2 linked regions of the Drosophila melanogaster genome follow. The protein of the gene in region 2 interacts with the protein of the main gene of each other region in a pairwise test. Each region holds a gene or a part of one and is shown on either strand. Other genes may lie near its edges.

The links. The genes of interacting proteins can lie anywhere in the genome.
Region 1: the proteins of CG2611 (region 2) and CG14767 interact in a two-hybrid assay, tested with the Drosophila melanogaster proteins (one large-scale study listed by BioGRID).

The regions. Positions count from the first base shown.
Region 1 is NT_033778.4:8,717,797-8,725,659, forward strand, and holds CG14767 (uncharacterized protein), read right to left. Parts: upstream 6,044-7,863; 5' UTR 5,910-6,043; intron 5,702-5,909; exon of another isoform or gene 5,657-5,701; 5' UTR 5,635-5,656; coding exon 5,461-5,634; intron 3,829-5,460; exon of another isoform or gene 3,713-3,828; coding exon of another isoform or gene 2,357-3,712; exon of another isoform or gene 2,304-2,356; intron 2,237-2,303; coding exon 2,047-2,236; intron 1,989-2,046; coding exon 1,850-1,988; intron 1,694-1,849; coding exon 898-1,693; 3' UTR 221-897; downstream 1-220. Other genes in the region: CG30357 (uncharacterized protein), read right to left, coding at 2,357-3,712.
Region 2 is NT_033779.5:20,648,521-20,651,422, reverse strand, and holds CG2611 (uncharacterized protein), read right to left. Parts: upstream 1,235-2,902; 5' UTR 1,173-1,234; coding exon 963-1,172; intron 887-962; coding exon 698-886; 3' UTR 525-697; downstream 1-524. Other genes in the region: brun (brunelleschi), read left to right, coding at 1-133; CG18810 (uncharacterized protein), read right to left, coding at 1,484-2,386.

The sequences.
Region 1 (7,863 bases), on a different chromosome or scaffold from region 2:
TTTTAAACTTAATAGTAGAGAACAAAGTTATTTTGTTTCTTTCCCCAATTAAAATAAATATCATCAACTCTGTTAAAGGATTAACACTATAAACTAAAAAGTCAACATTCCAACTCTATTGAAAATGAAACCAATTTCCAAATAGAATTAGGGTATCAGCTGAAATTGGAAATTATATTATAATGTTCTTTAAATTAAAATGAAGTCGCAAACACAAATTAAATATAAACTAATTTTTATTCGAATATCTTTGCATATTTAGTACACAGTATACATTTAGATATTGTACACACATAAAACTTTACTGTTGCTGGTAATATCATCATAATTAATGGATTATGACTGCCTGTGCTCTGAATTCAGTACACGGTATTCAATATGCATAGTCTTACGAGATAACTTAAAACAAAGAACATCGTAAAGGTGTCTACAATGCCAGCGACACTCTCTGGTAACAACTACTTGGGCCTACAATATCCGAACTTCTCAGGCTAGTTCGGGCCAAATGAAAAACGTTCTAACAGATTGTTGCAGCTAAAATCGGGTCAGATGCGGCCGAAAAGGAATTGATGCTTTCCTCGCCAGCATCACAATATGTTTTTGGCTTTAATGCTTTTGTTTACTAAATTAGCAGCAACTAGAGCGTCTTAGTTGTACGTTAAACAACAATAATGAGCGATGGCTAATAGCGAAAACTTGTTTGCGTTTCGTTTTTCTAAAAACAGTGTTCAATACATTGAAGCAACCATTAAGAAGGTGTATGTGTGCCTGGGAATGATAGCTGCGAAATGAGGGACCAGAAACCAGATCATCTGGGCAAGAAGAGGATGGGAGAGGGGTGGTCACCGCTGATCACAACCCACTCGCCATGAGAAGCAATCCAGTCGAAAGTACTGTTTAAGCCTGGCTTTCGTCGCGTCCGCCGAATACTTGTCCCGGGATGTTTGGCTGGCGATGCAGCGGCGATTGCGATGGCACTTGCACCTGGGCATCGGCAACGTCGTTGTAGGGCGGAGGAGGCGGAATGCCACCGATTACATCAACGCCAGCGTCAATAACCTCCAAATCGTCCGCTTCCTCGTCGACATTAGCGTTTACAGCTGCATCGCTGCGGCGCATTGGTGGCGTATTGGCATTGACATGCATAGTGTTGTTATTGTTCGGCTGATCATTGTTATTATCCATGTTGTCATCCGTGTTGGAGGCTACGTTCGCGGTAGTGGCTGCTCCAAGGGCCACGAAGAGAGGGGCCACCGAAGGATTAACCTCCGCACCTCCAACAGCTGCGTCTTCACCCTCTTCGTAGTTTGACATGGCCACCTGATAAGATGGCGGTGGTGCCTGCTTCAAGTACTGGGCAATCGCTTCATCGTAATTGGGCAACAGAGTGGAGTAAGACCGCTCTTCGGCACCAAAGGTTCCGCCAACACTGTGGACTCCAGTCGGTGGCTCCAGGAAGGGGAACAGGGTGCGAACGTGTTGCTGACGGAGCGTCAAGTACTTGTAGCAGCGCCAAACGATACCAATGCAATAGGCCTTTAGAAACACAATGCAGATGAATACGACCAGGACAACAACAACTAGCTCCTCAGGTGGTAGTTCTAGCAGCTTCTCGCGCCACGGCAAGCGATGCGACTCGGCAATGATGCTGTGAATGGCCTGCAGGTAGCACAGATATCCAGCGGCGGTGAGACTATGATAACGAACAATGCATAAGTACATTAATCTCCCTATTAAAAGAGTCCTAGAAACCTCGAAGGATTTAAGAAGGCTATTTAAGCTTTACTAAAGTAAAGTGGCGATTTAAATCTTTTGAGGTCTCTGTAACTCCACCGATTATAATCCTTACGTTGTAATAGCGAAATCAAACAATTGCAAACAGAAGAACGGCAACAGGTGGGAGGGTTTTCCCTTGATGGTTCCGTAGATCATCATCAGTGTAATGGCTATCATGCAGGTGCACACCAGTCCGCCCATATCGAAGTTCTCTGCAGCAGAAAATTGATATTTAAATGCGTTGCGGAACTTGCTCTCTCCACTGCTTACGGTAACGCTTACGATAGTTGAGGGAGTGGTCACGGTAGGCGTAGGGCGGTTCGACCTTGCTAAGGGGCGTGGGTAGGGCCGGTGCACTCAGATCCACGGTGTAGTCGTGGGTGCCACCTTCCAGTTCGTCCATCATCTCCGGATTGCGCCATATGACCGCTAGAACGCTTAGCGCCAATATGTTCAAGAACTGAAAATAAACGTAGGCGGTTTTACTTACTAAAATAATTAAACTGTTTAATTGCACATGGAGGCTTACATATATAAGTAGAAATATATATTTTACAAGTTCTACAACCAACGTGGAGACTCAACTGTTGGGCTTAGTTAAATCAGACTTCTTTGCCTGGCAACTGAAGCAAACATTGCTAGCATCTACTGGTTCCAGAGATTTCCAATAATCCCGGTGCTGGCGTTGCGTGTAATTAAGATATTCAAGGAACGCGTCGTAGGTTAAGTCCACCGTGTTCCTGCATTGCATTCGATGATGATACGGACATTTCCGGTCGTATATCCAAGTGCGTTGCACGGGTGGCTTTACGCAAGCCTTATGCAAATAGTGCTTAAAAGCCTCCCGATCTTTTCCATAAAACATCCGCGTGGTCGTGTACGCGATGCCTTCATGAATGGCTTGGCGCACAATTGGCTGCGCTACGATTCTCCCCACCCCCACAGATGTGACATCCGGTTTCTGTAAACGGATGAGCAACCACGGCGGGATTAGTCCAAAACGTATGCTGGATACAACATCCGTTACGTTTTCCTCTCTTTGAGGCCAGTGGTGGCTTAGCCACCGAGCGGCTGCCATGAAGACCTCCAGCTCCGTATTCACGCCTATCAGATCCGATTGGATGAGCAATAGCATTGATTTCAGCGGCAGTCTCAAAAACTCTTTCGATGCCACCAGCGTGAGAAAAAACTTTGAGACGCGCTCAAGATATTGCAAATGGATAACCTCAAGTTTCAGTATTTTCGCCTCAAAGTACAGCATCGCAGCGGAGTCCTCAGTGAATCCATGATCGAGGCAATACTTGCACTGCCTGACCAACTGTGGAATCTCCATAAATTTGGCAGCGTGGAAAACCTCTAGGAGACCGAGTCGCGGCAAGACTGGCGTGTCCTCGATCATCCATTCGTAGATTAGGCCAAAGGAGCGTGGCGTAATCATCTTTTCGGGCAGGGCCACGCTCAGGTCATTGCCCATATCGCGAAACATTCGCGAAAAGCTCTGTAAGACCATCAGGTGCACGGGATGACTTGTCTTTCCTATGGTGATCTCTGAATTGGTCTTTGTACGTTGCTTTACAAGGCTCACAATCTGTTGGTACAAATTGACCTTCCCTTTTAGAACCTTACTGATTTTTGATTTCTTTAAAAGCCCGGCTGTCGAGTATCCCAATGAGAATAGTGTACGCTCTTTAAGGGTGTTGAAAGCGTCAGTCTGGATTTTTAGTTCAGAAAGGGACGAGCAATTGATGGCAGTTGTATTGATGAACAAATCCCTTAGCTCATCATTCATCTCCTGTATCTCTTCTAGCTCCTCCACCGCTTCGACATCCTTATTCGCCTTAGAAGCATAGCCGCGCAGGATGACTTTATTTGAGGAAACAATGTCAATAGGACAACAAGAACTGCCTTCCGGAAATGTGTCGTCTGTGTGGGGCATTGCATTCGAATCTCGCAAATGCCTTCACCAGTTGGACAGCTTCCTCCGGATGGAATTTCATTGGAAGTAGTGGGGAATGTAGACTTTTGTGTGAGCAGAACAATATTTATAAAAATGTGAATAAGTTGTAAACGTCACAAACTAAGCAAAGATTCCCAAGGATCACGAGGGGGGACTTTAATGATAGCTCAACATTTAAAAGTATTTCGAGTGCGTTAGCAGGTGCATGGGTCCGCTCATGAAGATAAGCTGGCAAAAAAGAAGATAAGAAAGCTTCGCCTGATTTGATTTGCAGCCTGTGTGCTGATAGATGACAGCTGAATTAACAATTCTCAGATTTATGACAGCACGCTTCAGAATGTTGTTCCAGAAGAATATATCTTTCTTACCGAAAAGCAAGAGTAAGCCACCACAAGAGTAAATATTTTCGCATCACTTGTCGAGTACGTGTAGTTATTAAAAATAACTTGAACGCTCATGTTTCTGGTTGCTGTTTGCTCAGATGGCTGCCGTTGGATATCCGATTCAGTATCTAAGTATCTCAGGTTGAAGGCCTTGCAACGACCCGAGATGCGGCAACTTGCCATCTTTAGTTAAATTATTCATCAGAAATTCATCATGAAATTTAATCTGCAGTGCGCCGCAGTATATCAACAATTGTCACTCTGGGGATGAGTCAACCAAACAACAAGCAACCTTCGATTTGCGGAATTGCTTTGTTTTTAAAGCCTCTAACGCCATACATATCTACAAAATGTAAACAAAGAAACCCTTGAGATTGGACAGATTAGAAAAGATAACTCCACTGCTGTCCACACCATAATCAACCCATGTGACGGAGTTTTCTACTGGAAAACGTGACCTGATCAAAGCATAAAGAAAGTAGCGGAACAGTGTAAAATATACACGAATAGCGTAGTGAGACAAATACTATTAAGCAAGGGTTTTTGCTCAACGACTCAAATCTTTTATTGGCCGCAGATTCGCGCTCTCTTAAGGGCAGAGCATTCTCTTTCATTTTCAGAAGAGACATCAAAGGTTTCTGGGTTTCCAAAAACATTGATAACAAGACTGAAAATACTGCACTTTGCACATTTATATCCCTTTTTTTAGCCAATAAAACTAATTTCTTATGAAACTTTTGAAAATTCGACAATGCTTTACATTTCTCCAAGTGTAGCGATTGCTAATGCGAAGTCAGATCTTGTGAAAGGTTAGTTTCGGACAATGGACATGGGATGTGGAAACTTCCGCAGTGGAACCGATGGCAGAAATAAGTTGTTGTGCCAAAAAGCCCCGATGATAGTACAGTATAATTCGCTTAGCTGCATCGATAGTTAGCTGCATCGGCAAGATATCTGCATTATTTTTCCATTTTTTTGTGTGAATAGAAAATAGAAAATAGAAAAAAAAAAATTAAGTTAGCTGCATTTTTAAGTTACCTGCATCGAGGCATTGTGCAAAGTACTCGAGGCAGCTAAGCGAATTATACTGTAGTTAAATTTGATCAGATGACGCAGCAGCGGCCAATCAGCCACCAATTGACGTCACAGGCGGGGAAAGTGCAGAGTTGGCTCGTCTTCGTCTTCGCAAAGTTTTGCAGTCATTGGCTGATTGATTTTTCCCTTGCGTGACACTGAGCAGGGTCAAAGGTTTTTCGCAAATGCCGCAGGACTGCATGCGTGGGTGTATCTCGATATACACACACGCATGTATGGATTAAAGGATACCCCCCTTGATGCACTTACCAGGTGCCACAATCCGATCATCAAAGTGGCCGTGTGGACATGCAGGCCGAAGCAGCAGGTGAACTCCTTCAGGTGACGGTTTCCGGTGCTGCTGCTACTTCCGGCGGCACCATTGTTGTTGTTGCTGTGGAGCTGGTTGCGTTGGGGACCCATCTTGAGGTGGATCCTAAACATTGCACGCCCCACGAAACTGCGGCTGTGGAAAATGAATGCGAAAACGAAAGCGATAACGATAACGAGTGCAGAAAATAATCAGCAATTGTGGGTGTTTTATTCCTCCCACGGATGTGTGTTTGTGTGTGTATGTGTGTTTAGGTGTAGGTGTGTGTTGCATCTACGAGTATGTATGTATGCATTTGTATTTATGTGTGCCACTTTTTCACGACTGATGCTTTGACCTTTTGCACTACTAATTCGGCAATTGATTCACTCTCCTTTATAAGGCGTACCTTTGATTTGTGGGCCAATGCAACTTGCACTGGTTTTCAACTCCGATTTATATCTGCAGCTCTTGATGTATTCAATTTTATTTAACTGCTGCGCAGCACGAAAACCCGTGAGCACTAATCTCTGAAAGTGGTAAAATGCCGCGCAACACGGTCACACTGACATTATGCGTTTTGCAGAACGGTAACGTTTATACGAGTCATTATTCGCAAATATCATGATATTATACAATAATTTTTGAATTAGATGTCATATAAATAAACAACAAAACGAAGAGATGTAAGCTCATTTATTTCTAAATATTCATAGTTTATGTATTTTGTGTCCCCAAATGTAAATTGATATGTTTTTATTACTATTATTGAAGTTAATATTATTTTTAAAATTTACTTCGAAAGGAGCAACTCAAGATAGGTTTGTGCTTCCGCATCGTAAAGTAAATATTAATTTTAAAAAGTACGGTAAGTGTGACCGGTGCGAACGCTAAAGCGCCAATCCGCAAACATCGATAGCAGCGATGCAATCAAAATACATGCTTTGCTATCGTAGGGTGACCATAACTAAAAGATTTGGAGAGCCAACTGCAGCAAAACAGAGATAAAATTGACAGCGAACGGAATTGAAATGGCTTAAACCGCATGCCTAATCAGACTCGCGTAGAATTTTAGCCCGTGTTTATTTTATTTATTGAAACGAAGCCAGTGAACGTGGGGTGCAATTGCTGTTATATAAAAGTACGGCACTGTAACTGCAGTTTTACAGTAAGTTTCGTTTATCAGTTCCCCTTTGTGTACCTTGTTTCCTTCAGTTTTGCGTCGTTCGTTAGCGCGCTCTCTGTCGCTCTCTCTCTATCTCTTTAGTACGTATCCATCCCACCCCTTCTCTGTTATTCCCAACTACGTCACCCACCGAATTCACTTTTGTTTGCTATTTATAGCTGCGGATTAACTGCACTTCGCAGCCAGGAACATGGGGATATAAAGTGAGAAAAAGTTGATGGTCTGGTGGTCCGTTTTCCATATCGCTAATCGCGTGTTATCAGGGCCAAACAACAGGCCATCGTAAATAAGCGTTTTAAGCTGTCAATCAGCTGATTTTGCATCCATAAATAAAAGAGTGCTGCTTGTAGCCTTATCTGTAGGTTAACCACATATATTAACCTGCTTCAAACACCTTTCTCCGATTTCGGACGTCCCAAATTTTCCAGCCGCGGTGGCTCAGTCGTCTAAGGCAACTGGAATTCCCTACGAAATCAGTGCGCGAGTTCGAGTTCGAGTCTCCGCCCATGCTTGTTGGCTTCTTCCGACGATCACCCACGTTATTTAGCCGTTAACTCCTTGGGCTACATTAATTTTTTTTGTCATTTCCCTAACTTACATGTGTAAAAAAAAGAGTATCTTACATGTGTTTAGTTTATCTCAAAAGTGGAACAATCCTCCTTTAAAAATGTTTGGAGTGGGTCTTCAAAGAGAAGATCATATGCTTACGTTTTTATAAACTTAAACTTCCGGATGATACATTTCGAAAGCAAACCTTATCCCCCAAGGTGCAGTAGATAAAATCTGTCAAGCGTGAAAACTTGTTATTAAGTTTATTTTAAACATGTTTTAAAATCGTTTGGAAATGCACTTTATCTTACCACCATCGAAACAAAAGCTTCAGGCACTGCAAATGTTTCAAAAAAATTAAAAATAGTTGACTATAATAACATGTATGTTTACCCTAAACCTTCCTTTAATTTCTAAACTACGACTTTTGGAAACTCGGGTTATACTTGGAGGTCCGGCTTTGTTTGGTGGTCTTGGTCATCCCCCTTTTGTTTGTTTCCCTCTCAATCTTCAATTCTCTCTGCTCTCTGGCTTCAAGTGGTGACGTAATTTAAAGCGCTGCAATCGTCTTGTTTTGGTCTTATAAGAAATACACGCTTTGGGAACCGGTTTGGAACACTACTCTTGT
Region 2 (2,902 bases):
GCTAACCCGCTCCTGTCCGGCAGAAGCGGAGAGTGTCGGCCAATCGGTCATGTTCTCCTCCAGCTACGATGAGCAGCAGGCGCATGTGTGGAAGTTCATTCCGCCCATCGAGGTGACCGTCGTGGAGCAGTGAAATGTTACCTGTCGCTAGTTTAATTTCGTTACAATGTTTGTGTATGTATTGTGTATACACCCCATACTAATCCCCTACTCTTGTTAAAGTATTTGATTCCCACGCGCCCTGTTATATCCGTAAACACGAAAAGCAATTGTTTGTAAAGAATTCTTACCTACATAGATACAACATGTAACGCATAACACTGTATATAATTAAGCTGAAACACAAAGTTATACTGTGCCCCAAGCTTGATAGAGAAAATGGCCATAACATAAATCATATAACCTATAGTTCATGCCTGTAAAACATATACATATTTAAGCAAGCGATGCGCTATTTAAATAGATAGCCAATGTTCCGCGCACTAGAAGCCACGCCAAGCATTATACATTTTGATAACGAAGCTCGTGTTTAAAAAATATTTTTATACAATTACCGGGGCAATACACATGTATCATAATGAACTACATATTAAGATTGTTGCTAAAGAAATTATGCCAATGAAATGTGTGAATAACTGTAGTGTAAAAGCAATAAACTCTATTTGACGAAACATTTGGTGTCTTTGGTTTCTCCTTTTCAGCCGAGTCTTCGTATCTCGTCCATGGTGAATCCGTTGCGGTTGAGCATTATGCAGAAGAGCACGTACACATAGTAGCTTCCCGGGATGAAGGTCAGTGCCCCGATGATACCCAACGCCCACACCCGATCCGATCGCTCCCGGCTCGTGTCCGTCACCCAGTTTAAGGTGGCAAAGGCGATGCAAACCTGAAGACAAAGACATCAGATCAGAAGTTCGAAGGAACTGTGCATGTATGTGTGGGCACCAGTAATCACTACTCACAATGCCACCGATAAACAGCAAAAGAATGATAATAATGGTCTTCCAAGGCACTGGACCTGGCATCGCCGGTTCCGTCCACTGTTCATTAACGAATCCATCGGTCTCGCATTGGGACTCCACCACCTTGATGTACTCTCCGGAGCCTGCTGGCGCGGAACTCCTGCCCCCTCCATTTAGGCGGTGCCGCGACTCCGAATTGGTGGGCTCCATATGTGGTCTCTACCTACTGGCAGTTGATCTTGACCAGATGCCAATTTCAGACTAAACAAACAAGCATTTTGCGGCAAGTCAATGTTATCAGGAAAACAGCTGACGAGACTGCCAACCTGGGGAAAATCAGCAAGCACAGTAGAGACCAAATAAAACGAAACATACACATATCGCATAATAACACATCCTTAAATATTTAACTTTTTAATTTGGAAAGCTTTCTTGCATGCCTGAACTAATCAAATGAATTCGAATTTTTAATTTTTCATCGCACCGGTAATTTGGAAAACACAGAGAATGCATAAAATTATTTAGCCATCCTTGATGGTTGTTTCTGAGCACCAATCTGCCACACGTTCGTTGTCGGGATCCAGATCAAATCCGTCGTGGTCCAGCTGGCTGGGAACAAATCCGGAGATCCAGGTCCACTTCATTCGCCTGCCCAAGAACGTCTTGAAGTTTCGGCGCAGTTTTCGGTCAAAAGGAATGTTTTGAAGTTCAAAATCATAGCAAAAATAGCCACGAGACCACTGATCATAAGCCACATAGGTAGCTACGCATACCCCGATCCACAGCAGGACGAATACCAGAGTGAACACCAGCTCGTATATATCGGGCAACTTAAAGTAGATTATCCTGATAATAAGCGAGTTAAAATAGGCAGAGTTCGGTGCGGGATGTGTCAGCATAAAGAGCTGGTATCTGCCCCCATGCAGAACGTAAATAAATATCGAAGATGACGTTAGTGAAATCATGCAGCTTAGAAAAAAGTAGATAAGAAAATAGAAAAAGTATCTATAGTTCTCATGACCGATGCAGCAACCAGTAAAGAAGCAGTGATGATCTCGCATCAGGACACAGACGCCACACTTCCTGCAGTGACGTGACCGGGGTGGAGCAAGAATCCCGCACTTGTCGCACTCGTGCCAGTCCTCACTGTGCTGTCCGCGCACCAACTGATTCTTCATAAGCTTGGGATCGATGCTGGGGTCCACCAGGATGCACATGACATAGTTGGACATCACATTCGAAAAGAGGAACAGTCCCAGCAGCAGCTGAAATACGTAACCAGGTGACCAATAATCCGACAACTCCGGCAGAATTATCTCCATTAGAACATAGTATATGGCGGGCAAGCCACATAAAATGAACAAAAATAGGAATTGCTCCAACTTCTCTTTTGGCCATATGTTCTTCAGCGACCGAAACCTCATTATAACGAAAGTGATTTGATCAATTTGTAAAAACTTTACTGCAGATTGCAAAACTGGTTTGGAAAAAGTATTGGTGTGACTTTGAATTAGTTATTCCAGCCTACACGATGTATCAATATTTTTTCTCCCTTTTCCCAACCGTCTCTCAAAAATATTTAAAAAATAAAACTATGGCAAGCTGCATTCTGTTTCTATAAATATAATTTTATTAGATTTTTTACGTCCACTTTTCTGGCATCATGCAAGGGAGCCCTGTAAAATAAATAAAAATTATGCATAAGTATTTAATCATTATTCAGGGGTTACTCTAAATATATATTTTTACAGACAGTTCTAAAGATTTCCTAAAAAAAATATGTGCAAAATTATTTTTCTTTACTTTTGTTTACGGATCATTTTCATAGATTTAATAAATACAAACAAAATTCATGTTGTTTTAAAGAATACCCTTAGTTTCGTTTTTGTATTTGGTATTTTGTTTCCTAGACAATAGCTTAAGACTTGGCCTCAAATACT